Linked DNA regions of Cricetulus griseus. The protein of the gene in region 3 interacts with the protein of the main gene of each other region in a pairwise test. Links are inferred from orthologs where the notes say so. Each region holds a gene or a part of one and is shown on either strand. Other genes may lie near its edges. The genes, in order: Sln, Tnmd, Tmem79, Rnf8 and C-type lectin domain family 7 member A.

Evidence for each region.
Region 1: the proteins of Tmem79 (region 3) and Sln interact in binary tests that used the Homo sapiens proteins (3 or more experiments, as listed by UniProt). The two-hybrid records come from large-scale screens. The link is inferred for Cricetulus griseus from reciprocal best matches to the Homo sapiens genes TMEM79 and SLN.
Region 2: the proteins of Tmem79 (region 3) and Tnmd interact in binary tests that used the Homo sapiens proteins (3 or more experiments, as listed by UniProt). The two-hybrid records come from large-scale screens. The link is inferred for Cricetulus griseus from reciprocal best matches to the Homo sapiens genes TMEM79 and TNMD.
Region 4: the proteins of Tmem79 (region 3) and Rnf8 interact in binary tests that used the Homo sapiens proteins (3 or more experiments, as listed by UniProt). The two-hybrid records come from large-scale screens. The link is inferred for Cricetulus griseus from reciprocal best matches to the Homo sapiens genes TMEM79 and RNF8.
Region 5: the proteins of Tmem79 (region 3) and C-type lectin domain family 7 member A interact in binary tests that used the Homo sapiens proteins (3 or more experiments, as listed by UniProt). The two-hybrid records come from large-scale screens. The link is inferred for Cricetulus griseus from reciprocal best matches to the Homo sapiens genes TMEM79 and CLEC7A.

Annotation. Positions count from the first base shown.
Region 1 is NC_048597.1:165,581,368-165,585,899, forward strand, and holds Sln (sarcolipin), read left to right. Parts: upstream 1-2,494; 5' UTR 2,495-2,557; coding exon 2,558-2,653; 3' UTR 2,654-3,011; downstream 3,012-4,532. UniProt on the Homo sapiens protein: Reversibly inhibits the activity of ATP2A1/SERCA1 and ATP2A2/SERCA2 in sarcoplasmic reticulum by decreasing the apparent affinity of the ATPase for Ca(2+). Also inhibits the activity of ATP2A3/SERCA3.
Region 2 is NC_048604.1:46,267,569-46,273,827, reverse strand, and holds the start of Tnmd (tenomodulin), read left to right. Parts: upstream 1-2,488; coding exon 2,489-2,536; intron 2,537-2,701; coding exon 2,702-2,833; intron 2,834-6,259. UniProt on the Homo sapiens protein: May be an angiogenesis inhibitor.
Region 3 is NW_023276806.1:66,159,751-66,165,167, forward strand, and holds part of Tmem79 (transmembrane protein 79), read left to right. Parts: intron 1-472; 5' UTR 473-1,775; coding exon 1,776-2,535; intron 2,536-2,796; coding exon 2,797-3,010; intron 3,011-5,417.
Region 4 is NW_023276806.1:258,073,103-258,079,355, forward strand, and holds the start of Rnf8 (E3 ubiquitin-protein ligase RNF8), read left to right. Parts: upstream 1-2,197; 5' UTR 2,198-2,371; coding exon 2,372-2,482; intron 2,483-6,253. UniProt on the Homo sapiens protein: E3 ubiquitin-protein ligase that plays a key role in DNA damage signaling via 2 distinct roles: by mediating the 'Lys-63'-linked ubiquitination of histones H2A and H2AX and promoting the recruitment of DNA repair proteins at double-strand breaks (DSBs) sites, and by catalyzing 'Lys-48'-linked ubiquitination to remove target proteins from DNA damage sites.
Region 5 is NC_048601.1:16,595,245-16,601,678, forward strand, and holds the start of C-type lectin domain family 7 member A, read left to right. Parts: upstream 1-2,359; coding exon 2,360-2,453; intron 2,454-4,162; coding exon 4,163-4,261; intron 4,262-5,233; coding exon 5,234-5,368; intron 5,369-6,434.

The DNA.
Region 1 (4,532 bases), on a different chromosome or scaffold from region 3:
TAAAGTATGTGAATAGCACAATTCACATCCATTCTATGTCAGGTAACCAGTTCTTTCTAGTTTGTAGCCCTGTGGGGCCATATTCAGTATTCCTAAGCTTTCTCTAACATGCTCCCCTCTTTCTGCTCTGCTCTTCTGAACACTCAGGGACATTCTGTTCTCCTGTTACTCATTTTCTTCTGCTTATTCTCTACTCCAGGGAACTGTGTGTAAAGATTTTCACTGGCAATTGACAATATACATCATGCTAAGGGCTGAAGGAGGGATAAGAATGAAAAGGGGAGGGGCTGGCAAGATGGTTCAACAGATAAAAGCACTTGCTGCCAAGGTTGATAACTTGAATTCAACCCCCAGGTACCCCAGGTGGGAAGAAAGAACCAACTCCCGAAAGTTGTTCTCTGACCTCCCCGGTATACTGTGACACACACGTGTCCTTGCTCCAAATACAAAGATTAAATAAATGTAATAAAAATTAAGAATCAAAAGGAAACGAAACATAAATCAATCATCATTTGCTACATTTTAAAATGAGTTTCTGTAATCTGTTCATTGGCATAATATAGTATGAACCTGTATATTATACTAATAATTACATAACAAAAGCTGGTTGTTCTTTTGGTATCTATGCAATTAATAATTTGGTACATTGATGATACAACAAACATAACAGTTATAGTTAATTCAGTCAGGCCAGAAGGTTGCTACAAAGATTTGGTCTCTTGAGATTTGATCTTTTGCAAACCAGTAAGTACCCTTTCCATTTAAAGTTTTTGCTCCCATGATAGAATTTTGAGCTGCAATATAATCTACTTAAATTATCTAAAATACAGGAGTTTTAAAATTTATTTTGATTGTATAAACCAAGCATCTGTTTCACTACTTCACCAAAATTAGTAATCTGATTGATAACATTGCCTATGATCTTGGAGTAGACTTTCCTGCACGTACAATCTGTATGCATGCTAAAGATACCATCTCTGCTGTCTGAAATGTTTACAATCTAGGCACATCCTGAGCTTGACTAAAAATAGCTGGCACAAGCTCTTGTTGAAACAGAAATGCTCATGAGGTTAACACTTGTTCTTTGGATTGAGTACCTGTTGTGCGAGGGACTTCTAGTTGACCTCTACAGGCTTTGTGCCAGAGTAGGCTTGTACAAAGCCATGCAGCTGTTGGAGCTACTTTATTCTTTCACCAGGGTTGGATGAAGACCTAGGGCAGTTTTAAATCTGAACGATGATGTTATATGTGATCCAAAGAAAGAGCAATACTAAACTATATTTTTCCCCTGTTTTGGTGTCCCTGCTTGCAGATACTCCAAACAGCAAAGTTAACACATGACATGAAGATGAAGAGAGAAAAATGCAATATTTTATTACTTACCTAAAACAATGCAATTAATACAGGATAAAAACATTGGTCTTAGGATGACAGCAGGAAGAGAAACTAGGCTATTTGTATGCATCCATGCTCTTCAGAGAAGCCCAGATAACTCTGTCTGTCTGTCTGTCTGTGTATGTTTGAGAAATTGATTCATATCATTTGAAGGTTGGCAAGTTCAAAATACTCAAGGTAAGTTGCCAGGCTGTAGCCTCAGAGAGGAGTGGAAACTTAACTTCAAATGAAATCTGAGGTCACATGTTGGGGACCAGGGTATCAGCAAGGCTGGTTCCTTCAAGGCTTTTCTCCTTGGACTGAGAATGGCCATCATTTCTGTTTCTGCAATGTCTTCCCTCTGTAATGGGTCTGTGTCCTAACCTCCTCTCCTTCAGACATCAGTCATACTGAATTAGTGCCCACTAGTAACTGATCTAGTTTGCTTCTCTTCCCGTGGTAAAACACTGACCAAAAACAACTTGAGGTGAAAGGGTTATTTGTAACTTACAGGTATAGTCCATCCTGGAGGAAAGCCACAGCAGTGTCTCAGGGCAGGAACTCGGAGGCAGCAAGTGGAGCAGAGACTGTGCTGGTTATTGACTTGCTTCCTCTGGCTTGCTCAATTACCTTTCAGTTTTACCTTATGTTTTCTTTTTAAAGATTTATTTTTATTGTTTAATATTTATTCTTATTATTTTAATTATATGCATTTGTTTGTGTGTGGGGGGGGTATGTGTACATAAATGTAGGTGCCCAAGGAGATCAGAGGCATCAGATCTCACCAGAGCTAGACTTCTAGGCAGTTGTGAGCCTCCTAAAATGGGAGGAATTATTCAGTTGAGGTCCTTTTCCCCAGCTGGTTCTAGGTTTATATCAAGTTGATGCTGAAGCTAACTATGACAGTGACCGCATATTAGCTTAATTACCTCTGGGAAGACCTCATCTCTAAACACAGTCACATTCTTAGGTCTTGGGGAATAGGATTTCAATGTGTAAGTTTGGGGGGAAGGGTTGGAGAAGTCAGCACAAATACTTCATTTTTCTCTGAAGGAAGACTGGACAGCTTCCGGGCACGCTCACTTATCTCCCATGTTGTCTTTCTTATTTTGTTAGGAAGCAAGGACAAGCCGGAGGTTCTTGGTGTGCTCTCAGAAGTCTGCCTGGAGTTCTCACTCAGAAGATGGAGCGGTCTACCCAGGAGCTATTTCTCAACTTCACAGTTGTCCTGATCACCGTTCTCCTTATGTGGCTTCTCGTGAGGTCCTACCAATACTGAGGGGCCATGCTGCACTTCTGGGAGTGACTGCTGTGTGCCCCGAGCTTCCACTGCTGTTACTGTCATGGGATGCTATTCTTGGTACCACACCATCTCTGACCCGCACTCACGATGCCTGACACTGTTGTGTGTTTTCTAAAGATGCTGTCCTTGTGGGCTGCCAAAAGCTTGTTAGCCAGTGAGCCTTAGGCTTGTTCCCTAGTAAATGCACGATTCAGGCCACCAGGTTAAAATTAAACTGTATTCCTGATGATGCAGAGCAACAACAATGTCTGGTCTGTGTCAACACACATCCCCCAACCCACCCTGTCTGCCACCGAACTAACTCAACCCTTCAGAAGAAATGTACACGGAAGTCTTTGCCAGTCCCTTGAGTTCTCATGTGAATAAAGTTAAGCCACTCATGAAAACGGCTTTTAGAATTTATTTTAGCTCCTGTGTGACCCTTGGCTGGGACTGAAGTGACAAATAGCACATTATTTCTAGCATTTGAGATTAGCCAGGATGCTCCAGCTGCCTAGGATCTGAAAGCAAGACAAGCCAGGGTGTCCCATTTCAAATGATTCCATTGCTTCTCAAACCTTTCCTCTGCTAATCCTACGGCCAGAGGGAGAATGACTACAGCCTGCTAGAGTCTTGGGTCAGAGCCTAGAGTGCCTGCTAAAAGCATAGAATTCCTCTTAAGTCTTGTGCTTTCCCCCATAGCTTTCACAAGAAATGGGCTCAGGAGGTGATTCACTCAGTAAAGCCCTTACTTTGTAAGTTCAAGGGCCTGAGTTTAGACTCTCAAGAGCCATGTGAAAGCCCAGGACAGTGGTGTGAGCTTGTAATTCCAGGTATGGGAAGATAGGAGGCAGAGACAGCTAAGACAGGTCCTGGAAACTTTCTGGCTGGCCAGACTAGCCTACTTGACCAAGTTTCACACCACGAGGGACCCTCTAAAAACAGATGGGGAGGCACCTGAGGTATGACACCTGAGGTTGTTCTCTAACCTTCCCATGCATGTGCACAGATGTTCATGCACACACCTGCATATATAAGTGTACCCCAACATGCACACAAGCATACAACCACATATGTAGAAAACACATGCAAACATGTGAACATGCATACATATATACAAATGCACTCATACACCAAAAATGAACAAGAAATATAATAAATTTTGCTATGCCTGTCTGCAAGTACATATTTAGAATAGTTAACCCCTGAGTGAAGCTAGAGCACAAATCATGCCCCTATGAGTAGCATGTTCCAATTTGGTTCTTGTCCTTATGCAAATAGAACCAGACTCGAGGACAATTTTAAGAAGGGGAAATGGAAAATACACATTTACATACATGTTCATAGGACAAACATAACATGTTGCTAATACATCCTATTTTAGACAGATGGACCACATCTGCTATTTGTGCAGGTTTGTCATAACGACAGGCAAGGGAGATGTTAAACCTCCTGTTGCATGATGCCCTCCACGAAGGTGCTCCTTGCTGAGACTCTATCTGATCTTTCATGGCAACACTCCCTACACAGCACTCTGCTTCTCATCCCTGTCTGCATTCAAAGAAAATCAATAAAGCAGGGAAGGTCTTTCAAGAAATTGATGTAGCCTCCTTTCCAGACCAATTAAATAGAAATATTAGTGGTGGAGCTGAAGCACCCGAGTTAAAACAACAACACAACCTGAACAAAAAGCACAGCATCACCCAGATAGCCTTAGAGGACAGCCAGAGTTGAGGGTCAAGAGCCACCCACTGTGGCTCAGACTGGCATGTGAGAGTTGTTTCTTGAAAGATGGATTCCAGATGATTCTAATGTGTGGAGACATTAAGAACTGATAGCTATGAGAGATTCCCAGCAAAATATGGTCCCTGATGTC
Region 2 (6,259 bases), on a different chromosome or scaffold from region 3:
TAGAGTACATAACACGTGGTGATGAGGAGAATAAAATAGACATGAAATGGTGAGGTGATTGTAAGACAAACCTGTGGTTTCTGGTTTGAAGACTGAGTTATTGCTCCACATGGCTCAAACTGGATCACTTCAGTCCTCATATAGAGAAGCCCTAATTTCCGATGTCTTACAATTTGACTGTATGTATGACTTAGAATTTGGAAATATGCTCCTCAAAAAGGTCAGTAAAGTAAAATAATGTTGTGCAGATGACCCTTTATTCAAGGTGACTACTACCCTTATAAAAAGAGATCAGGAACCTGTGCGATAGTGCACACCTTTAATCTAAGCAATTGGGAGGCAGAGACAAGGAGAGTTCTGTGAATTCCAGGCCAGCCAGGGCTACATAGTGAGACCCTGGAGTTGGGGGAGGGGGAAAGAACAAAGGGAGGGAGGAAGGATGGGAGACTAGAATACCAACACAAAGAAATGCAAGCACCATGTGACCAATAAGATAGCTATCTAGAAGCATAATAAAGACAGCTCAAAAATGGAGCAATTGGAAAGATTGTGCTAGAGAAGATAGAGGACACCAAGGAAACAGTGTCTTCCAGACACAACAGAACTAATACACATATGAGCTCAGAGATTGCAACAGTATTCACCAGTCCAAACCAGATTGGTTCTCATCACTGAGATGGAGAAGTAGATAGGAACTCCTATCCCCAAGCAAGAAGCTATCTCCAATTAGCAACCAGTCCCAAAGGAAAAATAGGTTTCTTCAAAGGAGTCTAAATATATATACAAACCACACTTAAGAGCAGTCATCATGCCCAGCTGTAAATGGCCAACACAAAATGAATTCAATGGTAATTTGGGAGGGGTTTTTGTCTCATATTGCTTTGTTCAGACATTTTTTAACCTTACTTTGCTTGTATATTGTGTTTTCCAATTCTGTGTTTTTATGGGTTTTGGGGGGCTGGTATGTCTTTACATGTGTATGAGTTTCTCATGCTCTTTCTTTTTTTGTTGATTTGTTCATTGTGTTTTACCCTTGTTTGTCTTTTGTATTTGCCTCCCTGTTATCTTAAGAGAGGGAAGGGTGAGGAAGTGGCCAGGACCTGGGAAATGAGGGAGGGGACACTAAGATCTAAATAAAATAACTTCATTTTCAATAATAATAAAAATAATAAGCTGGGCAGTGGTGGTGCACACCTTTAATCCCAGCACTCTGGAGGCAGAGGCAGGCAGATATCTGTGAGTTTGAGACCAGCCTGGTCTACAAGAGCTAGTTCCAGGACAGCCTCCAAAGCCGCAGAGAAACCCTGTCTCAAAAAACAAAAAAAAAAAAATAAAGATTAAAAATAAAAATAATAAAAATTAATTAAATGAGATATATATTAGGAAAGAAGGAAAGAAGAAAGAAAGGAAGGAAGGAAGTAAACAAACATCTTGATCTTGGATTGTAGCTTCCAGAACTGCAAGAATGTGTTTTGTGTTGTCTTCTAAGGAATATATTTTTTACAGGCAAGTCAGTAATTTGGCAGTACTTTATTATTGTGGGCCCAGGAAACTAACTGTAGTGGCCATTCATGGTTAGGATTATGGGAAAGAAAGTAGGTTGGTGGAAGGAGTATTTAAATAGTTTGATAGGTAGCATACTGACTTACATCCAGATACAGACACTTGCGATGTTCAAATGGCTTTGAAATTAAAAAACAGAACTGTGTTACAGGTACAAATTTGGATGGCATTGCTATATAAGAAATCTATCAGCCCCAGGACTTGATGAGGTCATTTAAGCAGTTTATGTAAAGTGAGAAAAAAATCATGAAGCAATATAATGAACACCAGCATTGAGGGACCGCCTAAAGAAGACAAACAAAATCATAGAGATGGGATGAAGAGAGAAAGCTCACAATTGCTCCTCATCATATCCTGGTTTTAATTATAATTAGTTAAATACATGTTGATCTTGGCAAAAAGAGTGCTTTTACCTAGTGAGGCACACTATCTTATTTACTTCTGACTCTCCAGCACCCAAGAAAGTACCTGATACTTAATATCCCTGCAATAAATATTTGCTTAATTGAATGGAATTAAAATTAGAACTTCATTCCCTTTTTTGCTCTGTTTGCTTATTTCTGGAGTATGCAGCATGTATTGCCACTGGTATTTTAAGTTCATAGTGAAAAATCATTTCAACGTGTCCTAGGCTTGATCCCCTTCCAACCCAACCCCCAGGACAATAGTTTTCATTATAACCTGTCTTTGCCATTCTGGATGGAATTCTGTGCACAGAAGTTATATACATATATGGGTATATCTATGTAACAAATCGCAGCACAGGAGCCCCCTGGGCTCCCTCCGGCTCTGGTATGACATATTTGAGCCATATAAATTCAGCTTCTCCTCTGGCATCTGGTCGCCGACTCACTTGCAACTCCACCTCGGCAGTGGTCTCTCAGTCTTCTCAAAGCAGGCAAAGAGCACTGTGTGCTGGGAGACTATGGCAAAGAATCCTCCAGAGAACTGTGAGGACTGTCACATTCTAAATGTAAGTTGATTCATATATTTTCCCTTTTGAGCAGAAGCATGCTTTCACAGATTTATCGTATTGCAGTGTGAACATTAGAAAGTGAAATCGACGGAGACTTTGAATTATGGCTTGCTATTTTGAGGGTTATTGTGTATTGTTTCATTCTTTCTGTTCTTTGCTTAGGCAGAAGCTTTGAAATCCAAGAAGATATGTAAATCACTGAAGATTTGTGGACTGGTGTTTGGTGTTCTGGCCTTAACTCTAATTGTCCTGTTTTGGGGGAGCAAACACTTCTGGCCGGAGGTATCCAAGAAAGTAAGTAACACTTACCCAGTGTTTTTTTTTTCCTGAGTTTGGTTGAATTTAACTAGTGATTAACATGTGAATTAATATGAAAATGAAAACTTTCATCCTTTTTGTATTCAGTTGGGGCACAGAAAATGAAATCAAGGTTTTTCTTTCGTTTACTTATGTAGGTGTGGGGAAATTATCTTCTGCATTTTGTTTGGTTAGTAGTGACAGGAAGTAAATTTACTTTTATGGTTGACTTTAAGGAGTTAAATCTGAAAGCTTTTTTAATGTACAAAAGAAAAATTACTTTCCATCTTTCTTTCCATTATCTGGGAAGAAACTGATGGCAGAGTAACCAGACAGTCACATAAGGAGAAGGCACCCGAAATGGCAGCAAATTGTTTTCAGGGTTCATGTTCTGATTTAATGCATCTGCTATGAGGACAGGCAGCAAGGAACACTCCTTTTTCAAAGGAGCAATTCTCATATCTGAGTTCATAATTATTTGTAACTTAACCAGAGCTAGAGCCTTTCAGCTCCTCCGCAGTCACAGCCATTGTCCCAGTGAGATAGTTATGCCACGGGTAGATACAAGCAGCAGTAAGTCATTAATCACAGATATGTCAGAAAGCTTCTAATATTGAGGACATTTGACGAGGCGTGGTTGCCATTGTGGTTTGTATTCCCATGCTTCCATGTTACTGTTATTCCTAGGCTCACGTGCAATAGACAAGTTTAGATGTGACCCAAATAAAATCGTAGTCTTTTCTTGCTAACAGTTTCCACTTGGATGAGAATTAGATGAGCTAAAACCCATTAAGATGGGCTTTTGGCTTTGCCATATTCTTTATTTCTGAGCCTTTCTTGTTGCTGCTGCTACTGCTGCTGTTGTTTTTGTCATGAGATGCTCATTTCTACTTGGTAGCTGATGTAGGGAAGAAAAGGCACAGATCCAGGAAGGAAAATGAGACAAGAAGAAAATGGGTTGGCATGGACCATTAGGAGCCAAAGGAGCAATAGGAGCAAAGAGTTCATGGGGAAAGGGAGACAAAGGAGGAGAAAAAGAAAATAAACTGGCTAACTGTCCAAATAAAAACAGAAAAGTAAAGCATAACTACATGGGATTCTCCACCTCTGCTGCAATACCTGCTTACATTTAGTCTCAAGGGATACCTTGTAAAGTTTAAGTAGGATGGAGAGCAAACAAGCCTACTTATCTGTTTGCCTTTTTATTTACATCATGTTCCAGAAAGGTTTTCAGGCATCACCCACTCCTATTAGCCCACCCACTGCCCTACTGCTTTTGAACTACTTACTATTCAGATGACTTTCTAGAGAAGCCAACTATGCTAAGGCTAGCAAGGTGTGCAAAGCAACCAACATCAGAAAAGAAACAGAAGTTGAATTGAGAGCCAGCACTCATTCCAGTACAATTACTTACTTACTTATGGCATCACTTAGCTAATTTCTAAAGTAATATGCTGCCCCAAAAGTTGAATCACTAATTCTCTTGGAAATTATATGAATATAGGGCCATAAATCATTTTAGTTGTTGTGAATATAATACCTTCACTCTATGTTTCAACCATTCATAGATATGTATCTGAACAAACACAAGATAGACTTTCTTGTTTCCTTATATCCACCGGCACAATAAATGTCATTCTAACCACATTTATGTGTTTTTCTAATCTTACAGTGGTATTTGCTTCAGTGCAGTAATAAATGACCATGGGGGTGACTTGGGGAGATCTTGCCTTTATCTTGTAAGAATCCACACTACCTAGCTGAGTTCATGATCTCCCCTACCTTCCAATTATACTATCGTCATTTCCCATTCCAGTTCTTATAAATATGATTACCAAAGAGCAACTCTGTAATTCCTGAAACCAAACAAGAAACGCAGCCAGTGCATACATGGAAAGGGTACGAGTATGCTACTGATTAAAGTGTACTTAAAAAGAAAAGATATCAAAGCAAAATGAAGTAATTCATCTTAGGATATAAATTTCACGAAAAGGAATGTAAAGGAGGGGCCGAAGTCATTATGAAGATATACAGATAAAAGACACTATGTACCTCCTATGGTAAGTTTTTCTATTGTGAACAAATACTATTTACTTGCTATTCCATGGGGAATTACAATATACTGTCTTTCATATATATGTCCTGGCCTTCACCACAAAGTCATGTTGAGGTCACTGAAAATCAGGAGACCAGGTAGTAGTACAGATTCTTTATTCAATCAACTACTACATTCTATGTCCCAGACAAAGAGCTTGGGATGCTATCCATGTTCCTAGTGACCAAGACCCTGACTAGGCCTGCATCTGAGCAGTTAAGAATCCAGGGAAAATAAAAGTAGTCTATTAGTCTGGGAAGAATATTTCCAGAGGAAAATGATCCAAGCATCTTGTATAAATTTAAGACTCTCTCTTTAATAGTATGGGCTGGAATGAAATGCTGATTGACAAAGTAAAACCCATGGTCTTCTGGACTTTGCTTTGGTTGCCTTTGGGATTCGTGAGGCCTGTGGGGCCTTTGGTAGAGAGAATGACTGATACATTTGTACTTTTGTAGTGATACCTTTGTTGTCTCTGGGCTGTCTCTGAGCTCTCAGTGTTTGCTTTTCCAGCCCCCACAATACTCCTTCTTGTTTTCTTTTTCAACATCTGTTTATAATAAACAGTGTTTATTTAACATCCTACATCTGGTGTTGACATTTCCAGGCTACTAAGTCTTTCCTTTCCCTCCCACCTTCGTATGCACAAAAGATGCAGATGATGGATTTCAAAACTGGAGTAAGCAATATTTGACTCCAAGTGTTCCTCAAACATGCATGTGAACACACACACACACACACACACACACACACACACACACACACACACACACACACTTATCCAGGAGAAAAATAAAGGAGGTTCAACTCTGAGCGAACTTCTGTACTTCTTTCCAAGCCCTAGGTTTCCTGAGCCACAGCCGTACCTAGGAGACTTGAAAAAGTCTTGAAGAGGCTTGAGAAAAGCCAAGTCTATAAGGCTCTGTGTTCAGCTTTCCTAACTGAGCAGAAAAAAAAAAACGTATTCAGTTCCAGAGATTTCGAGAGGTCACCATATTGAGAGTCCACTTCTAAGCAGTAACTTCCTTACAATCCATGAAGCATACTTTTGGGGGGAAAATAGTCTTACTTAAAGTTCCCTGTGTTCCACATTGAACATGAAAGAATTAGAAACCAACTCTTCAACTAATCAAATCAACATGGAGAAAACAAACCAGAAAGGCTGTAGCTCTTAAACCAGCAGTTTATAAACACAGCACAGATTTTGTACCCCACTCTTTCAAACTTTTGTGAAATGAGACAGAAACACAAAGTTGTGTGGATGAAATGGCATGTGTTTTCTGCCATAAGTCAGAACTAGGTGGTGATTTTTAGGGCTGCTGAGAAGT
Region 3 (5,417 bases):
GTCCTGGAATTTTTTCTGTAGACCGGACTGGCCCGAACTCACAAATTTCCATCTGCCTCTGCCTCCCCAGTGCTGGGATTAAAAGGATGCACCACCACTGCCAGGCTCAGTGTGAATTTTTAATGTCTGTTACCCCCAATAGCTAGAAACCTTGATTGTCACTAGTTCTTTTCTGTACCTGTGCCTAAAATAGCACTTTTTTTGTTTGTTGGAATTTTTGTTTTTGCTTTGAGATAGGGTCTTTCTATGTAGCTCTGGGTGTTACGATAAAGTGTGGTAAACCTTTCGAGGATTCCATGGCAGGTGAGGGTGACCGAGGCAGAGGAACAAACATGACAGGCAGACAGAGCTTAGTGAGAAGTTTTATTAGAAAGGGAAAGTGTGTGTGTGGGGGGGGGGAGGTAAAGAGACACAGAGACAGAGAGAGGACAGAAGAGAAGAAGGAGACAGAAAAAGTCCTGTCTGTCCACAGGGGAACATCGGGAAAGAGAGAGAAGAAAACGAGCAAGAAGGAAGCTGTGCGTTGGTGGTGCACGCCTTTAATCCCAGTACTCGGGAGGCAGAGGCAGGCGGATCTCTGAGTTCGAGGCCAGCCTCTGGTCTTCAAAGAGAGTTCCAGGACAGTCTCCAAAACCGACAGATACTCAATAAACATTTACAGAATGAACAAACTTACAAGGCATCTTTTCCCCAACTTACTGTAAGTGCCCTTTGGCGTACAAACCCACTTTTCCCCTGATGCTTCCTGACCTGGAAGCTCTTACACATCCCAGAACACCTAAAGACCACACCTCTATGTCCAGCTGCACCCTCACTTTCAAAAAGGATGACGTCCTCCTCTAGAGCTCTTCCTGTCGGCAGATTCTGTAGGGCAGGGCCTGTGCCTTTAATCTGGGCCCCACCTGCTCTGGTCAGACAGGTTTGGAGTCACAGGCAAGGGGAGGGAGACTGGGAAATACTTGCAGAGCCAGCCAGGAGCTAGGCAGTTCCTTTCCGGGGATCCTCCGCCTCTCCACAGGTGTAAAGTAAGAGGGTATCATGGGTCCAAAGGGCAGGGGGGTAGGAGGGGCCCTAGAGGTGAATGAAGAGAAACAGCCCTAACCAGAAGCAGTGGGCCGGTGGGTGGCAGGGGTTAAGAAAGACAAGAGGAGGGCATGGGAGCAGCCACACTGGAGCTGAAAGTCTGAGTGGAGCCCAGCCTGGTTGAAGGGTGAGACTCTTGAGAGGGGAGTTTGGAAAGTGACTGGTTCCTGGAATTGGGGACTAAGAATCTGGCAACTGGTTTCGGTTGCCAAGAGAGTTCTGGGCAGGGTTCTGGAGGGCAAAGGGCAAATGGAAGGGTGAAAGGGCAGTTTCTCTGTAGGGTGATTTTCAGTTGTAGAGAAGCTCTCAGCCAAGTTCCTCCCATTCCCAAGAGAGGGTGGCCATGAATCCAGGGGTTTGGGTGCAGAGAATGGAAGGCAGGTGTGGGTGTAGACTGAGCCCACGGCTGCCAGGCTGCCCGGGCTCGTGTCCCCTGACTCACCCCTGTCCTGCTGGGTGACATTTCTTTTGAAATCGTTCCTCCATTGCAGTCCTCCCCTGCTGCCCTCTGTCTCAATGCCTTCCCCCATCCACGCTGTGTTCTCCCTAGAGTCCATGAGGCTGCATGAGTGAGTTCCAGTTTGAGGAACTAACTGTTCTGGGGCCAGAAGACAGGGTATTTTCACAGAACCTACCCCACTTCCAGTAGGATGATATCACCTTGGACCAGACCTTAGAACTGAAGCCTCACGATGACAGAACCGGAACCGGAGACACTGGCTCTGCTGGAAATGAAGGAACCCGAGGCTCCAGAGAAGAGCCCACCGCAGGTGCTAGTCCCCACTGGTCGGCAGCCAGAGGAAGAAGATGGGACCGAGTCCCCTGGAGCTGAGTCTCTCAGAGTAGGGTCTTCAACTGGGTCTCCCATAGTCAGAGAGAGGCCTGAGGAGGGTCCAGAGAGCACTATAAGTGAGGCCGCGACTTTGCCCTGGGGAACTGACCCTCACCCCAGCGCCCCACTTCCAGATCCCCCAGGCTGGCGAGATATTGAACCAGAGCCCCTAGAGTTGGAGCCACTCACCAAGTTGGAGGAACCACTCACTACTAAGTCTGAGGAACCACTCAAAGATGATGCCAACTTGCTCCTTGAGAAGTCAGTTAGGGCTTTCGTGCCCATTGACCTCCAGTGCATTGAGCGGAGGCCACAGGAGCGCACAGAGCGCAGGAATTTCCTGCCAGCCCGACTCAGCCACCCCGAGCCTCCGGAGTGCAAGTGGGCTGAGGCAGTTGTGAGACCCCCTGGCCGGTCCTGTGGGGGCTGTGGGAGCTGTGGAGGCCGCGAGGCGCTGAGGGCTGTAGCCTCGTTGGTGGCTGCCCTCATTTTCTTCCCCTGCCTGCTGTATGGAGCATACGCCTTCCTGCCCTTCGATGCTCCCAGGCTGCCCACCATGAGCTCCCGCTTGATCTACACCCTACGCTGTGGGGTCTTTGCCACCTTCCCCATCGTGCTAGGTGAGTCCGGGCCGTGGAGAAGGGCTACTTGGGAAGTGGACTAGAGAGGCCTGGTTGGGGTGGTCTCTCTTCATTCTGCTGGAACCATTCAGGACATCCCAGACCTGTGCCACTCTTCGCCCCCCCTCTTCCAGAGAGCGCTTGTGTCCTCCAGAGACCGCTTGGGGCAGTCCTGACCCAAGAACCATCCTCTGAGAAAGCCATCCCCAGCCCTCCTGCCTTTTCTGACCCCATCCGTGTGTGTGCTTCCTCCCCTGCCAGGGCTCCTTGTATACGGCCTGAGTCTGTTGTGCTTTTCTGCCCTCCGGCCCTTTGAAGAGCCAAGGCGGGAAGTAGAGATCCACCGTCAGTACGTGGCCCAGTCCGTGCAGCTCTTCATCCTCTACTTCTTTAATCTGGCCGTCCTTTCCACCTATCTGCCCCAGGACAACCTCAAGCTGCTCCCCCTGCTCACTGGTCTGTTTGCAATATCTCGGTGAGTAGGGGCTATGGTGGCCATGGCTAGGGTAGGCATGAGGGAAGCGAAGGTATTAGAGACTCCAGGGAGCTAAGGTCTGGAGATCTGAGGTCAGGGGATTGCTGCTGGGGCACCATGCAGTGGTTAGTCTATCCTATATCTCTTGTGATTTGCTGAGAAGCAGGTGGTCAGCTCCCATCTTCCTTTCAGAAGTTGATCTCAGATGCTTGCCGATGGGGAGCTTTTGAATGTTAATTTTTTTGGTACCGAGAATGGAATCCATGGCCCCATACATCTAAGCACAGGATTGACCACCCTAACCTCAGGTGTCATTTGGTATGCCCACTGAAGGTACTCCTCAAGTCTGTGACACTCCATACAAATAGCTTTAAAAATTGGCTATGTTGGACATTTCCGGTTTTATTTTGCTTGAGACAGTCACATCTCACCATGCAGCCTGGACACAAACTCTTGGCAATCCTCCTGTCTCAGCCTCTCAGGTGCTGGGATCACCACCACACCCCTTTCCAGGTTTGATAGTTCTAATTGCTAGAAAGTCCTTCCTTATACAGTGCTAAAAACTGCCCTAAAGCTGATGTAGTGCTCTCTCAGGCCTGCTGCAGTCAAAGTTCTTGGGAGGCTAAGACAAGAGAACTGCCAAGAGTTCAAGCCAGCCTGCTCTAGAGAATGAGTTCCAGGACAGCCAGGGCCACACAGAGAAATCCTGTCTCAACCCCCAGGAGCCCCCCAAAAAGAAAGGAAATGAACTGTCTTGACATGGACCTTCTGGATTTAGACTCTGGACAACACAGATCAATTCCTGCACTTAAACAGCCTCCTCTTTAGTGGTTTAAATGGCTCTGATCCCTTTGTCTCTGGCAGGAAATCTGCTCATCGGTGAGCAGAACCTCGGTTAAGGGCACTGACTCTTTACCCAGAGGCTAGTTCACTCTCATTACTTTTTTTTCATTCAATTTGGAGTCATCAGGGGATATTATTTTATTGACAGAATCTGAAAATGTAGCCCACACTGGCTGAAAATATGTAATTCAGGCTGGTCTCAAACCTACCATTATTGAAAGTGAGCCTTTGTTTTGTTTTGTTTGAGAGAAGCTCAAGATGTCTTGGAACTTGCTGTGTAGACCAGGATTCACCTGTCTTTGGCTCTTGAGTGCTGGGATTAAAAGTCTGCACTACCACACTGGCGCTTTCAGGGAATGCAGTGTTGCACAGCAGTATGGGCCGCATGTGGTCCCAGCCTCCACTCAGGAAGCAGAGGCCAGAGAATCAGGACATGTTTGAGGCCATACAGGGCTGCATAGTGAGGCTTTAACTCAACAACAAAGCAACAGTGAGCAGACAAAACAGTTGACAGTGAGGGGAGACACTGGACTGGGAGTTAGCTCGGTTGTAGACTATGTGCCTAGCATGCAGAAGGCTCTGGTGGAGTGTGCCTGTAGTCCCTTCATTTGCGAGGGTGAAGGAAGGACTGGGGGCTGGGGATATAGTTCAGTGGCAGATCACTTGCCTAGCTTTGTGAGGCCCTGGACCACAAACAAGATTTTGTTAGTATCTACAAAACAGAAATGAATCAAGAAACTGTAGAACTGGATACCTAGGGTGGGAGTTGGGGAGATTAGGATGGGAATCAGAAAAGGGGAAGACATTTTTTTTTTTTTTTTCCCCCGAGACAGGGCTTCTCTGTGTAGCTTTGGAGCCTATCCTGGCACTCGCTCTGGAGACCAGGCTGACCTTGAACTCACAGAGATCTGCCTGCCTCTGCCTCCCGAGGGCTGGGATTAAAGGTGTGAGCCACCAACGCCCAGCCAGGGAAGACAATTTTTGTTGTTTGTTTGTTTGTTTGTGATAGGGTTTCTCTGTGTAGCCCTGGCCATCCTAGAACCAGCTTTGTAGACCAGCCTGGCCTCAAAACCAGAGATTTGCTTGCCTTTGCTCCTGAGTTCTGGGATTAAAGATATGTGGCAATACCACCCAACAGGGGAAGAAAACATTAAAGTTGAATTGTCATTTAATTCTGGATCACATAAATGAACATTTAATTGTAACTTAATTAAGAAAGAAATTAGTTGGCCAGGAGCTGGAGAGATGGCTCAGAGGTTAAGAGCACCGGCTGCTCTTCAAAGGACCTGAGTTCAATTCCCAGCAACCACATGGTGGCTCACAAACATCTGTAATGGGATCCGGTGCCCTCTTCTGGCCTGCACTGTATACACAATAAATAAATGAATATTAAAGAGAGAGAGAGAGAGAGGAAGAGGATAAGGAGGAGGAGGAGGAAGAAGAAGAAAGAAAGGCAGGCAGATTTCTGAGTTTGAGGCCAGTCGGTCTACAGAGTGAGTTCCAGGACAGCCAGAACTAATACACAGAGAAACCCTATTTCGAAAACAAAACAACAAAATGAAAT
Region 4 (6,253 bases), about 190 Mb from region 3:
CAAAGCTACACAGAGAAACCCTGTCTCAAGGAAAAAAAAAGAGAGAGAGAAAGAAAGAAAGAAAGAAAGAAAGAAAGGAAGGAAGAAAGGAGAAAAAAATTGCTTTAAAAAATCAATGAGATTTTAAAGATTGTATATTTATTTATTTATTGTTTTTTGAGACAGGGTTTCTCTGTGGTGTGGCTTTGGAGCCTGTCCTGGAATTCATTTTATAGACCAGGCTGGCCTGGAACTCACAGAGATCTCCTTGCCTCTGCCTTCCCAGTGTTGGGATCAAAAGGTTTGTGTGATACCATCACTGAGTGTCTGTGTGTCTTTGTACATATGAATGCAGGTGCCCCCAATGGCCTGAAAAGGGTGTCCAGCGGAGGGTGGGGTGGGGTAGACAGAACAGAGCTAAGGTGGAGAGTTTTTTTATTGAGGGAAGAGAATGGGAGAGAGGTGGCAGTGGGAGAGGGGAGAGAGAGGGGAGGGGGAGGGAGGGAGATTGGGAGAGGGAAAGACAGGAGGTGGACTTGCCCACCTTTTATAGGAGAGCCTAGCGAATGTGCACAGGTGGTGCTCTTAGTGGCTGCAGCTGAGGACATTTTTTATCAGGACCCCCAAGGGCAGGCCAGTTCAGATGCTTGAATACTAACAGTCGGATTCTCTGGAGCTGGAGTACCAGAGTGGATGCTGGGAATGTAACTGTGGTCCTCTGGGAGAGCAGCAAGCACTCTTAAGTGTTCATCACTTTGAGGATAATTTCCATACTGCTGAAGTCATAGGGTGGAAGTGTGCATGTCAATGGCCTTTGGCTGGTCTTTTTCATGGGGGCCATAGACTCCTCAATAAATGACACGTTGACATTAATTATAAAAGCTTGGACGGTAGCTTAGGCTTGTTTCTAACTAGCTCTTATAGCTTTAACTAACCTGTTTCTATTAATTAACTTTCTGCATCCTGCTTTATTATCTAATCTCTGTACTGCCCATCCTGCTTGCTCTGCGGCTCCCGGTGTCTCTGTCCTTCTTCCCAGCATCCTCTGTGCCTGGAAATCCTGCCTAGCTGTTGGCTGTTTAGCTTTTTATTTAAACCAATCGGAGCGACACATCTTCACAGTGCACAAAAAGATTATTCCACAACACTTTAGTAAATTTGTACACTTGTGCAGCTCTCAATCTGACTTTAATCTGCTTTTACAACACTTTAATACCACCCCCTCCCCAGGTCCTTCACGCCCATTTGCATTCGGTCTGTATTCTCACACAGATAGCCCCCCAGGTAACCGTGTGCTGTCTCTATAGATTTGCCTGCTATAATTTTTAGAAATTCAGTAACGAAAGGAGGTCATGCAAAAACTAGATGCTAAACAGGAATAGACCAAACCAGCTTTAAAATGAACCGAGTTTTAAAAGTTACTCAAAGGTGGGCTGTAATGGAGTGAGGGTATAATTTATCTACAGAGTACTTTACACCCCTGCCATCCTCTTGTCTCTGGGTTCAGTCTTCAGCATCTCCCACTTCAAACACAAAGTAGGCTATGGTTTTACATAACATGGCTACAGGCATCATTAGAATGTCGTTATAAAGCATTTTTTGTTTGTTTTGTAGACAGGTCTCCTATCCCGGGCTTGACTTGAACTCACCGTGTAGCCGAGGATGCCCTTGAACCCTTCGTCTTTCTGTTTCGGTCTCCTCCGCACCCTGCCAAAGAAAAGAAGGGGTGGGGTGGAAATAAGAGGTTCCAGTTCGTAGCCGCTAGACCTGGGGCGGTGGCTTGGGAGAGCACGGAGGGGAGGGGAAGGCGTTGGACCGTGGGACAGTCACGTTATGCTCCTGCGCCCAAGCAGAGCGGTGGTGTTCATCACTTTCATTATCCATTATAGTTTCTACGTGTTGACTGGTGTGCACACACAAACCCGCCACGGTGCGCCAGCGGAGGTCGGAGGCCGATCTGAAGGCTCAGATTTCTGCATCCGCCACGGAGGTGAAGCCTGAGGACCGAACTCGGCAGCGGGCGACTTCACTCGCGGAGCCGTCCCTTCCCCCGAGCCCTGGCTGGCCCGGAACTTGCATCACGGACCTCCCTGGGCTCCGGCATTGAGCCCGCCCTCCTGCCCTGGCCATGCTCCGCCCTTCCCGCCCTTCCCGCCCGCTCGCCCGCCCTCTCGGCGGCTCTCCCGCCCCCGGTCTTCCCGCTGCGCACGCGTGCTGCCCGCCTTCCCAGCCCAGGGGCGGGTCCGCGTTCGCGTCGGCTCGGCGGCTCCCGCGCGATTGCTTCTGCCTGGGCTTTAGTTATGGTGCTGGACGGGACCCGGGAAGGAGGCTGGAGCCGGGGCTGGAGTTGGGCTCGTTGCTGAGCGCTGGCTGCCCCAGTGCCGAGCGGGCTATGGGCGAGCCGGACCCCCTGGGCTCGGGGCAGCTCGCGGGCGGCCGGAGCTGGTGCTTGCGGCGGCTGGGGATGGACCGGGAGTGGTTGCAGCTGGAGGCTGCGAGTGAGGTGAGGACGGGCGGGCGGCCGGGGGCGGGGGCTGCGGGAGCGTGGAGGCTGCGGAGCCGATCCGCGCCGATCCGGCTGGCGGGAGGCACCAGGGCGGCAGCCAGATCGGGCCGCCTCAGGGGCTGGCGGGATCGGGCCGCGAGGCCAGGCGAGGCCGTGGCTTGAGAGGCCCGGGTTGGTGGGTGGCTGCGCGGGAGCGAGGCCCGTGCCGGAGCCGCCGTAACGGACGCGGGGACCTCCGGGGACGAGCAGCACGGAGCCGAGAGCAGCACGGTCCCCGACAGTGCCTCTCGGAGCCTTGCGATGACGACCCGGTTCAGACGGGGAAACTGAGGCAGAGGCGTCCCCACTGACCCCGCCGGGACGGCAGCGGAGGGCGTCTGCAGTTGATTTTGAGTGTGATGGCGAGTTGAATGGTGCCTCGCCTACAAACCCTCCCAACTTTAGAAAAATAAAGTCTCCCATTCCACCTCCGAGGAGAACTGACGGGTTGGGGTGGGCCACGGTTGCACCCCCGGAGTGGGGCAGGGACAGTCAGCAGACCTCCCCAGAAACTGCTTTCATTGTCTGACAATGCAGGCTTAAAGGGCTGGTGCTGGGGATCGAACCCAGGCCCTCGGAAGGCTCCGTTAATGCAAAACTAAAACGCAAAAAAGGGGGAGGCACAGTTAGGAGCGGGAGGGAGGTGCTAGGAAAAGCTCCAGGAAAGCTAAGGGTGAGCCCATCCTTGCAGTCTGCTCTGGAAGGGGACCTGGGTCAGGTACGAGCTTGCTGTTCAGAACCCTTTGGGCTTTGGAAACTGTGCAATATTTGGAGGGAATCCTTTTGGGTTTCTCTGTATAGCCCCCGGAACTCACTCTATAGACCAGGCTGGCCTCAAACTCATGGAGATCCTCGTGCAGAATTCTGCCTCCCGGGTGTTGGGATTAGAGGCGGCGTGCACCACCACTGCCAGAGAAGGGAGGGAATCTTAATTGAGAAAATGCCTCCATTAGATCCAGCTGTAAGACATTGTAGTAGTGATTGATGTGGGAGGGGCCCAGCCCATTGTGGGTGGGGCCATCACTGGGCTGGTGGCCCTGGGTTCCATAAGAAAACAGGCTGAGCAAGCAGGTCAGCAAGCAGCACCCATCCATGGCTTCTCCCACCAGCTCCTGCCTCCAGCTTCCTGCCCTGATTCCTGTTCTGACTTCCTTTGATGATGAACAACGATATGGAAGTATAAGCTGAATAAACCCCTTTTTTGCTTTTTGGTCGTGGTATTTCATCACAATAGTCATCCTAAGACGTCGTGTAAATTAAATATATTGAATTGGTAAGGTTAGGTTATTTTTTTGATAAGCTATATATTTGCAATTGAGGGGCAAACATAGTTTCTGCTCTTGGAGTTTATGGAGTTTCTTTTTCTTTTGGTTTTTCGAGACAGGGTTTCTCTGTGTAGCTTTGGAGCCTTTCCTGGCACTTGCTCTGTAGACCAGGCTGGCCTCGAACTCACAGAGATCAGCCTGCCTCTGCCTCCCAAGTGCTGGGATTAAACGCGTGCGCCACCAACACCCGGCCCAGGAAAGATTATTTCTACAATGAAGGAGTCTGTGACCTTTATAGGTTGGCTAAGGTGTGGCTTATTTAGTGATATTCTAGAGCAGGTCCGGTTTTAAATTGGCAGGCGTTAGAGAGCTGCTTATTTTTACATGTGTGTTGTTTTTTCACCTGCTTTACCTAATCTGATCCCTGAACATTCACTAGTCTGTCTCAACCCTGTAGGGAAACTTAATCAAGTGTTGACTTACTCATTGAGGCTCAGTTCAGTGAACTAATCTATTACTTCTGAATAGATTGGCAGTCCCGGGGTAGCAAGGGCAAGAGGACTACAGGTTCTACATGGTGCCATAGTTCTTACGGGATCACACCTATGGAGAGAGAGACCCGCACAAACCAAGAGAATGCCGGTCAGGGTGAGGATTGACCCTCCTTGGCCTGTGTATAAGAGAAGCCTGCCTGGTGATACGCACGGATGGACCCTCATCTGGTATCGAAGGGAACCCTTTAGTAAACTATCTGTCCGAGTGGGTGAAAGGGGGAAGGAATGGTTAGCGGACTTCCTGGTTATTCCAGAGACAGAGCCCTGCAGAGGAGGGGGCTAGGGAAGACGGGCAGGAACAAGGGGATGGTCTGCGTTAACATCAGGGTGCTTCATGGTTGTTAATGGAGCAGTGCCGAGGGAGTTCTTAGGGGGCTGAAATAGAACCATTGTATTCTAGGACTGGACATTTCTCCTCTGGATGCTAAGTCAGGGACAGTTTCAGAACAAGGTGCTCTCCCAGTCTTCTGTACTGTGTTCCCCAGTGGCAGCCAGGCTGTTTCCCCTCAAGTGGAATATGGAATGCTTCCTCTAAAACAGCTACTGAATCTGGGAATGGTCAGTGAATGAGGATGGTATCCCTGAAGATCCCCCCCACCACACTAGTCCTTAGACCTGCACATTCTCCATTGAAGAGTTTGCGTGCTGTGGTGGATATGTAGAGGTCAGGACAACTTCAGGAGTTCTCTGCTCCACTGTGGGCCCCGGTAAGAGATGATCACACACAGAAATGAATCGGGAAACAGACCCGAATCTCAGAAGACGGTCACTTCTTTCCCTACAAGTTTATGATTAGATAGGTCTGCCAGGAAGTGTGACGAGTGGGAACCAGAGCTTTGTTTCTGTCTTCTACAGACCCTCAAGCCGTTGCTGTGGGTAAGTGGGGACCTAGGGTCAAGGAATTTGGTTGGTAGACTTTGCAAAGTGGGCATCCATGTGCGTATGGGTGCCTGCAGGGGCCACAAGAGGGCACTGAATCCGGATTTGGAGTTAAGAGCTCTCTCTAATCCCCATTTTATTTTATTTCCTTATGTCTTGACTGGAAGTTCAACATCAACTGTCGTGTCAGTTTCCTGGAGACTAATGCTAAAGGAACATTATGTCTGTCTGTCTGATGACAGATTTAAAGAGTTAAAGTCTCAATGAGGCAGTGTGCTAGTCTGAACAAGCAAGATGAAAATGAACAGAAACCAGTGTCAGGTCCTCCATATGAATTCACATTTACCAACTCGTCATAGTAATTTGGGGGAAGGAAGGATGGAGAAACAAGAGTTATTTCTCAGGCCGAGGACACTGTGGCAGTGTACTGGAGCGCCATGAAAGTCAGACCCACACATCAGTCGGTAGCCATGCCTAGAACTGGGAAAGTGGTCCATGACTTGACTTTGTAGACCAATTTAAATTGATTTTCTTAAATAACAGCTATCACAATAAACACAGGCCCTGGGGACTCAGGTAAAATGGCTGGGAACAGAGGGCCAGGAATAGTGACTTGGAGGCTACTTCACAGCTGTGTGTAGAAGGAGATTGGAGATTTCCTGATGGACTCGGGGCAGAACCAGGGCCAGCTAGAAGAATTTCCAGAGAAAGGGATGCTAAGCTGGGCATTTAAAAAGCCGAGACCTGTCTTACTTGTGTGATGGATGGATGCCAGTGTTGAAGACAAACCGATGGGAATGGGATGGTAGAAGTGGATGACTGACCGACCGTTCAGGGCTGTGGTAGCCTGAGAATTCATATCAACTCTTCCTTATTTTAAGTGATTATTTTATGTGTATGCCTGGTGCCTGGGGGTGGGGGCAAGAGGTAACACTATAGCAGAAGAGGGCATCGGGTCCCCTGCAGCTGGGAATTGTGGATGGGTTATGAGCCACCATGTGTCTGTTGGGAAGACAAACCTGGAAGAACAG
Region 5 (6,434 bases), on a different chromosome or scaffold from region 3:
AGCCCAGCTTATCCTTTCTCATGCATAGCTATTGGCTGTTCAGCTCAGCAGGCAAAGTAACACAGCTTCACAGAGTTAAACAAATGTAACAAACATAAAAGAATACAACACATCTTTGCATCAGTAAACAAATAAGCCACAGCACAAGAATGTAGCACATCTTAAACTATTATTGCATAACATTATTGCACGACATCCACCGAGCTTAAGATGGAAGGGAACACGACGGGGTTTATTGCCTTACATTCTCCTTTCTGTGTTTTCATATAAATAAGGATGTCCCTTTATCTAGACAGTGAAAGAGGACAGAGGATCTCCTCCTCCCTTTCTCTCACATGAAGATCTCATGGCCTGTGTCAGGGGTGATCTTCCTCTTTGTGCTTTTTTTTTTTGTTTTTCTCAGATGTCAACATGTCTTATCTTGGGGTAGAATGTCCTACATCTCATCACACTGCTTCACAAAGACCGCATTATGACTTGAATGGCTAATGGATATTGAGAATAGATAGACAGGACCCTTATATGACTTATCCATGAACAGCCAGTAAGACTTTGTGGCAGACCAGGAAAGAAGCAGATTCTCACTTAGTGACTCTCCACTGACTGCTCTATCATCTCCATCCTTGTTAGACCTGGAGAAGTACAAACTTATGATCATATAATGACTTCTCCTACCTTCACCTGTACACCTGGCAGACCTACTGTGACTTCCAAGTAACTGAGGGTTTTTTTACTAAGGACTGGTGGATCCAGTAGCTTGAGGTACCTACACAAGCAAGCTTGATGCTGGTAGTGCTACTAGCTTCTTAAGTCAGAGCTAAGTTTGTTGTCTTGTGATCTGCAAGAATGATGAGTGTCTGAGATCCAGTCTCAAAGCATAAAACAAAGCAAAAACCCAACTTGGCAGTCGGTAGTAGGTGAATCCACTCTTAAAGCAGTTATGTTTGGAATTTGCAATACAGTATCTTTTCTCTGACCTTCGTGTAATAAAGCCAAGGCCCTGAACAGTTTCCTCAAGGGCAAACATTCAAAGTCATCGTCTTTGCTCTCCCTCACTGTCTCTGAAAGTTGAAAGTACATGTGCCACTGCCTCATGTCAAAAAGATGAGAAGTTTCTTAGTTTAAGGAGTGCCAATGGACAAGCCCTGATGAAGACTCACTTTGGCTATTGCTTCACACCACAACTTTACATTAGCACACGCCAGCCTCAGAAAGCCTTCCAATTGTTGTTATGTGGACTCTGACTTCAGCTCTTATTGGACTTTCTTTTCCATTGCAATAGTAATCCTTAAATTAAATCTCTCCTCATTACTTTGATGTCCTCCTTGTTGACCTCTAGCAGTAATAAAATTATGGAAATCAAACAATTTTGTACTAATTTGGTCACTTTGTGTTAACCTGTGAATTGAAAGAGAGAAAGAGAAAAAATTCCAGACATTTAGCCTTCTGTTTCTGTCTTAGATTGTCCTAAACTATCATTTGCATTCTAAGAGCCCACAAGAACAAAGCCAGTGCAGCAGAAAGCAATTCCATGTCTAAAAGACAGAGGAGACTTTGTTCCAATCTCTTGTTCTGGTTTTAAAGTTCTTATTGTCTGAGTATCCATGTCTTTTTCTCCTTGTTTGAAAATTGTAGAACTAAAACACGCTTATAGAACCCTTAGAGATCTGAGATTAAATGAAAAAGCCTATGTGCTATGCTGTACTAAGGCACCATAATTACCAATAAATATTTGCTCCCATATATTTTTACTTCATGATAAGCCTCAGCGAGATTCACCTGCTTTCTGTTGCTGGGATAATATGCTTTTGATACTTGCCTGTGGTTTCCTCCATCAGGCAATGAGTTTCTTTGTGGATCACCTTTCCGCAAGCATCCAGTTCCTCCAGCTGTGAAGTAGTTAATGTGTGTTTACAGAATGCACACATGCACAGATGTGTGCATGCAAGCAGAATACGAACAGACCAATGGTGAGCTCAAGGTACCAAAACTGCTTAACTGTTTACACAGGACACATCTACTAATCATGCCAACCCACATCAATTAATCATGCCAACTTGGTTCAGAGTGTAACTGAAGTCGTAGCATTGATTTCAAACAACAGCCATGCACTACGACGTTTCAGATTTCTTCAGAATTTACAGCCTCAAAAAAAGGATCTAGAGGGAAAAAAAATGGGAAATTACTCCAACGTGATTTTCATTTCCTGCTTTGGGCACTGGCTAGACTACTTATACTGAGTTCCATAAACCTCAGCAAAGAGCTGTTTCAGGGTTCTGTTTAGAGAGCCTCAAAACGACAGTTATCTTACTTGGAAAGAACATTCAAGTGCTCTGCCTACCCAAGGCCCTACAAAACAATGGAATATCAAGAGACTCTGGATGAAGATGGGTATACTCAATTAGACTTCAGGACTCGAGGCATCCTAAAAAGACCTGTGGAGTCAGAGAAAGGTATTCATTTTCATTTTCTCTCTGCTTATAGAACCTTCATCCTTATCAACAATAGTAGAGACCTGGGCAGACTCTTGATTTGTAGGACTTTCTAGTGAAATATATATATGTATATGTACATACATGTATATAGATATATATATTGGAAGAGTCATCACAGATTCCTTGGATGTTCACAAAACCTCTTTTTGGAAACTACCCAATGACTTCCACAGATTGTTTTTGATTTGTGGCGATAACCAGGACTGCTCCACTCTGGAGTCACAGATGCTTCATCAGTGGGAAGTGGGGTTGGTAACATGAGTGATAGGCGAAGATGAAGGAATTTTAATGAGTTACTTGCTGCTTGTGAGGGGGCCAAGAAACTCAAAATAGTGTAAATGAACCTGTACAATCTTACTATATATAGTGCCAAAGGGACAGGGTATGAAATCGTAGAGGATTCCATGGAAAATAAAAATGAATACATCTTTGGTGAAACCCAAAGAGTAGCCAGGAGTCACAGAGTTTTAAATCCCAAATCTGATATACTTTTGTGGGAAGAGACTAATTTGAAATTTTCAAAACTTGTTGCTGGTATACCAGGGATGGAAAACATATGCTAGAATAAAATGTCTAATTGGCAGGACATAGGAGATTCTTAAAATGGAAACAGTGCAAGATATACAGAATGTTAAAGGATCTCTCTCCTCACAGGGTAGGTGCTTTACTCTCTTTCTGGATCTCCTATTGGTCATCTCTGTGACTTGGGCTTCTGGTGTTGGTGTGGTAAGCTTAATACAAAATCAGTTCAGCGCTATCATTAAGGAAAAGATGACTCATGGGTTCTGACATTACAATTTGCTTTCTTCTGCTTTTTTGGCATTCACATTATGCAATTATTTTCTTCTTATAACCACTTACACAACCCCTTCCTTGTGCAATTAGCTTGTAAGATGGTAGAAAACTGAGTGAGGGAAGGGGCAAGGCTTTTGCTTGTGCTGTGTAAAGTACAAAGTGCTCCCAGTTGCTGGAAAGGGTGTTTCTATGCATTTTTAGATCACTTACTTCCAACAACAGTATTTTACGGTGTTACTGATCCAGTATCAAAAATGGAAACTTAAAAAATAAATAAATAAAAAGAAGGGGGTGGAGAAAGTAGTTTGTCCAAATGATGCACCAAATAAATAAAAAAGGAAACCTACCCTTAATAACTAGTTCTGTTTCTCCTACAGAAAACTGCTCACCCTATGAACAAGTAGGATTTCAGGGAATGAATAACACCCAGACCTATAGACTAGCATGTGAACCTGCAATTGAGGGGTATGCAGATGGCAAGGCATAGCCAGGAGTCACAGGGTTTTAAGTCCCAAATATGATATACTTTTGTGGGAAGAGACTCATTTGAATTTTTAAAAACTAGTTGTTGGTATATCAGTGATGGAAAGCATATGCTAGAAGAAAATGTCCCATTAGCAGGAGACAGATCTTAAAATGGAAATAGCACAAAATACGCAGGATGGGAAAGGGTGATAACACAGCTGAAGCAATTGAAGAAGAGCCATGCTGAAGCTGGGGACAATGGAGACTCGTACTACAAGACTAGACTCTCAGGACACTGACTCTAGTGGCTGATGACCCCTTTAGAACTGTCCCCACTTCAGTATGCTGGGCAACTAAAGGCTTCCACAGACTTTTCTTATTTTCTTTCTCATCTCTCTGGCTTTCAGGAAGCCGGTCTTCATCTCTCCCTTGGCGTCCCATTGCGGTGGCCTTGGGAATCCTGTGTTTGGTCGCACTAGTGGTTGCTGTAGTCCTGGGAGTCCTAGGTGAGTATGGATGAGGGAGATTAATGACAGTCACAGAGAATTAATCTGTGCATCAATCCCATTGAGTTCATGATATTAATTTCCATTTCACTTATAGGAGAATGGAGAGATTGGAAGATTGACTATTCCATTGCTATAAATTAGTTAGCGGTGGGATCATGAGTAGAAATGTAGACAATCTGCTTAATAAAACATATATTCTTAGCTATATTGCTCTACTATTCTACATGAATATCTTACTTTTTTAAAAGAGGAATTTGTAAGGTAAGTTAGTGGAGGGGAACTTACAGAGCTGGAGAAGGAAACAAAATATGCTGTTATCTTTCCTAGGGCATAGCTATATTAAAGGAGTTGTGTGTAATTTTATGAACCTTTGGACACATGGAAATTATCTCACAGATGATCTTTACTAAGAAAAAATCTTGACTCTTCCAAGTATTGCCTGAGGCACTTAAAACATACTAAGCAGATATTTTGTGATTGACGAATAGATCTCTTTAGGTTTCTATATCTCATGAATCCTGTGTCAATACAATTATATGATCTTTTCAAAGAGTCTTCATTGCTCATAATTAGTCAAATGCTTATTAATGTGTGTACAAACACACTCCATTTATTACAAGCTGGGCAATCCTCAAAGAGCTGCCCTTTTTAAATAATAGGAGAAAGCAGAAAGGATATTATTGTCCTTGAATTATTATTATTTCAAATTTTTATGATTTCAGCTAAGTCTGTGTCATTTTCTTCTTGCTTCCTTCTTCACAAAAGTTATTCCTTTCCACACATCTGATCAATCATCCATGTATCAACCATCAGACTCTGTCTTTTTCATCAGCAACGTAGCATTGATTTACCATTAATCATAGATATTCCCTATTAGCTTTCATAAAATATGGGGGCTGGAATTTCAATTCTCAAACAGAAGAATGACTTTCTTTTTTCTGTCACTATTATTGTTCCTGAAATATGAAGCATTTTGGAGATTCAATTCAGGGAGAAATCCAGAAGAAAAGGAAAACTTCCCATCGAGAAATAAAGAGAACCACAAACCCACAAAATCATCTTTAGATGAGAAGGTGGCTCCCTCCAAGGCATCCCAGACTACAGGCAAGGGCAGAACCTTATAAAGGAGCCATGGGATCCTGGATTTCAGAGGTCCATTTCCTGGTGCTGAGGCATGGGGTGGGGAAGATGTTTACGTCTAATAACAGTGTATTCTAGGCAAACATGCCTAGCAGTATTTCCTTAGCATAACATATCCTGTCAGACAAATGACAAAGTGATATCACAAGTCTACAGCTCTTGCCAACAGCATCAGTTACTGTGCTTTTCTCTGACTGTGTGTGGAGACCTACCGGATATGATATAATTGTAAGCAAAAGAAGAGGCAGTGTTCAGTTCCTGTAGGGAACTGATATTTTTACAGTGATATTGTTAGAATAAGATAGATGTAAGGGAAAAGGAATGTCAGGGGAAAAGTGGGGAAGTTGACCCTGCAGACAAGAGAGTAAACATGAGCAAGAATATGCAGAAGAAATGAACCTGATGCAGACACCACTGTAAACTCTGGTTAATCGCATTCAATCGTAGCATTTAATTGATTTTGTGACAATTTTTCTACACTCTGTGTTTCTGATTGGACTGTAATTGACTGACAATATTTTCCCTTCACTATTCCATCTCTGAACTTAACCTACCCACTGCTTTTAGCTAATGAAACATAAGAGTCTTGGAAATATAAATAGTTACATTTATGCCTTTCCATAAGATGAATCAAGTGAACTGGAGTTAATGTGTGTAGCAATTGATTTTGAGAGTGTTTGCTTTAGGGAGGGCAGTAGAGAAAGCCAGTCTGTAATTAAATTTGAAGTAATGGAAGCCTAGTTGTCTATTTAAATACAGTAATTACTCACCTGATTTTAAATTGCAATTTTATATGTGTATGAGTGTTTTGCTTTCAGGTTTGTCTGTATACCACTTGAATGCCTGGTAACCTCAGAGGCCAGAAGAGTGTGTCAGATCCCCTGGAACTGGAGTTGTATAAGTTGTGCTAGGAATCAAACTCAGGTCCTCTGGAAGAGCTGCCAGTATTCATAAAAACAGAACCAACTCTACAACCCCTAATTTTAATTTTTAATGAACAAATGGATTTTAATATGTTCTGTAAAAATTG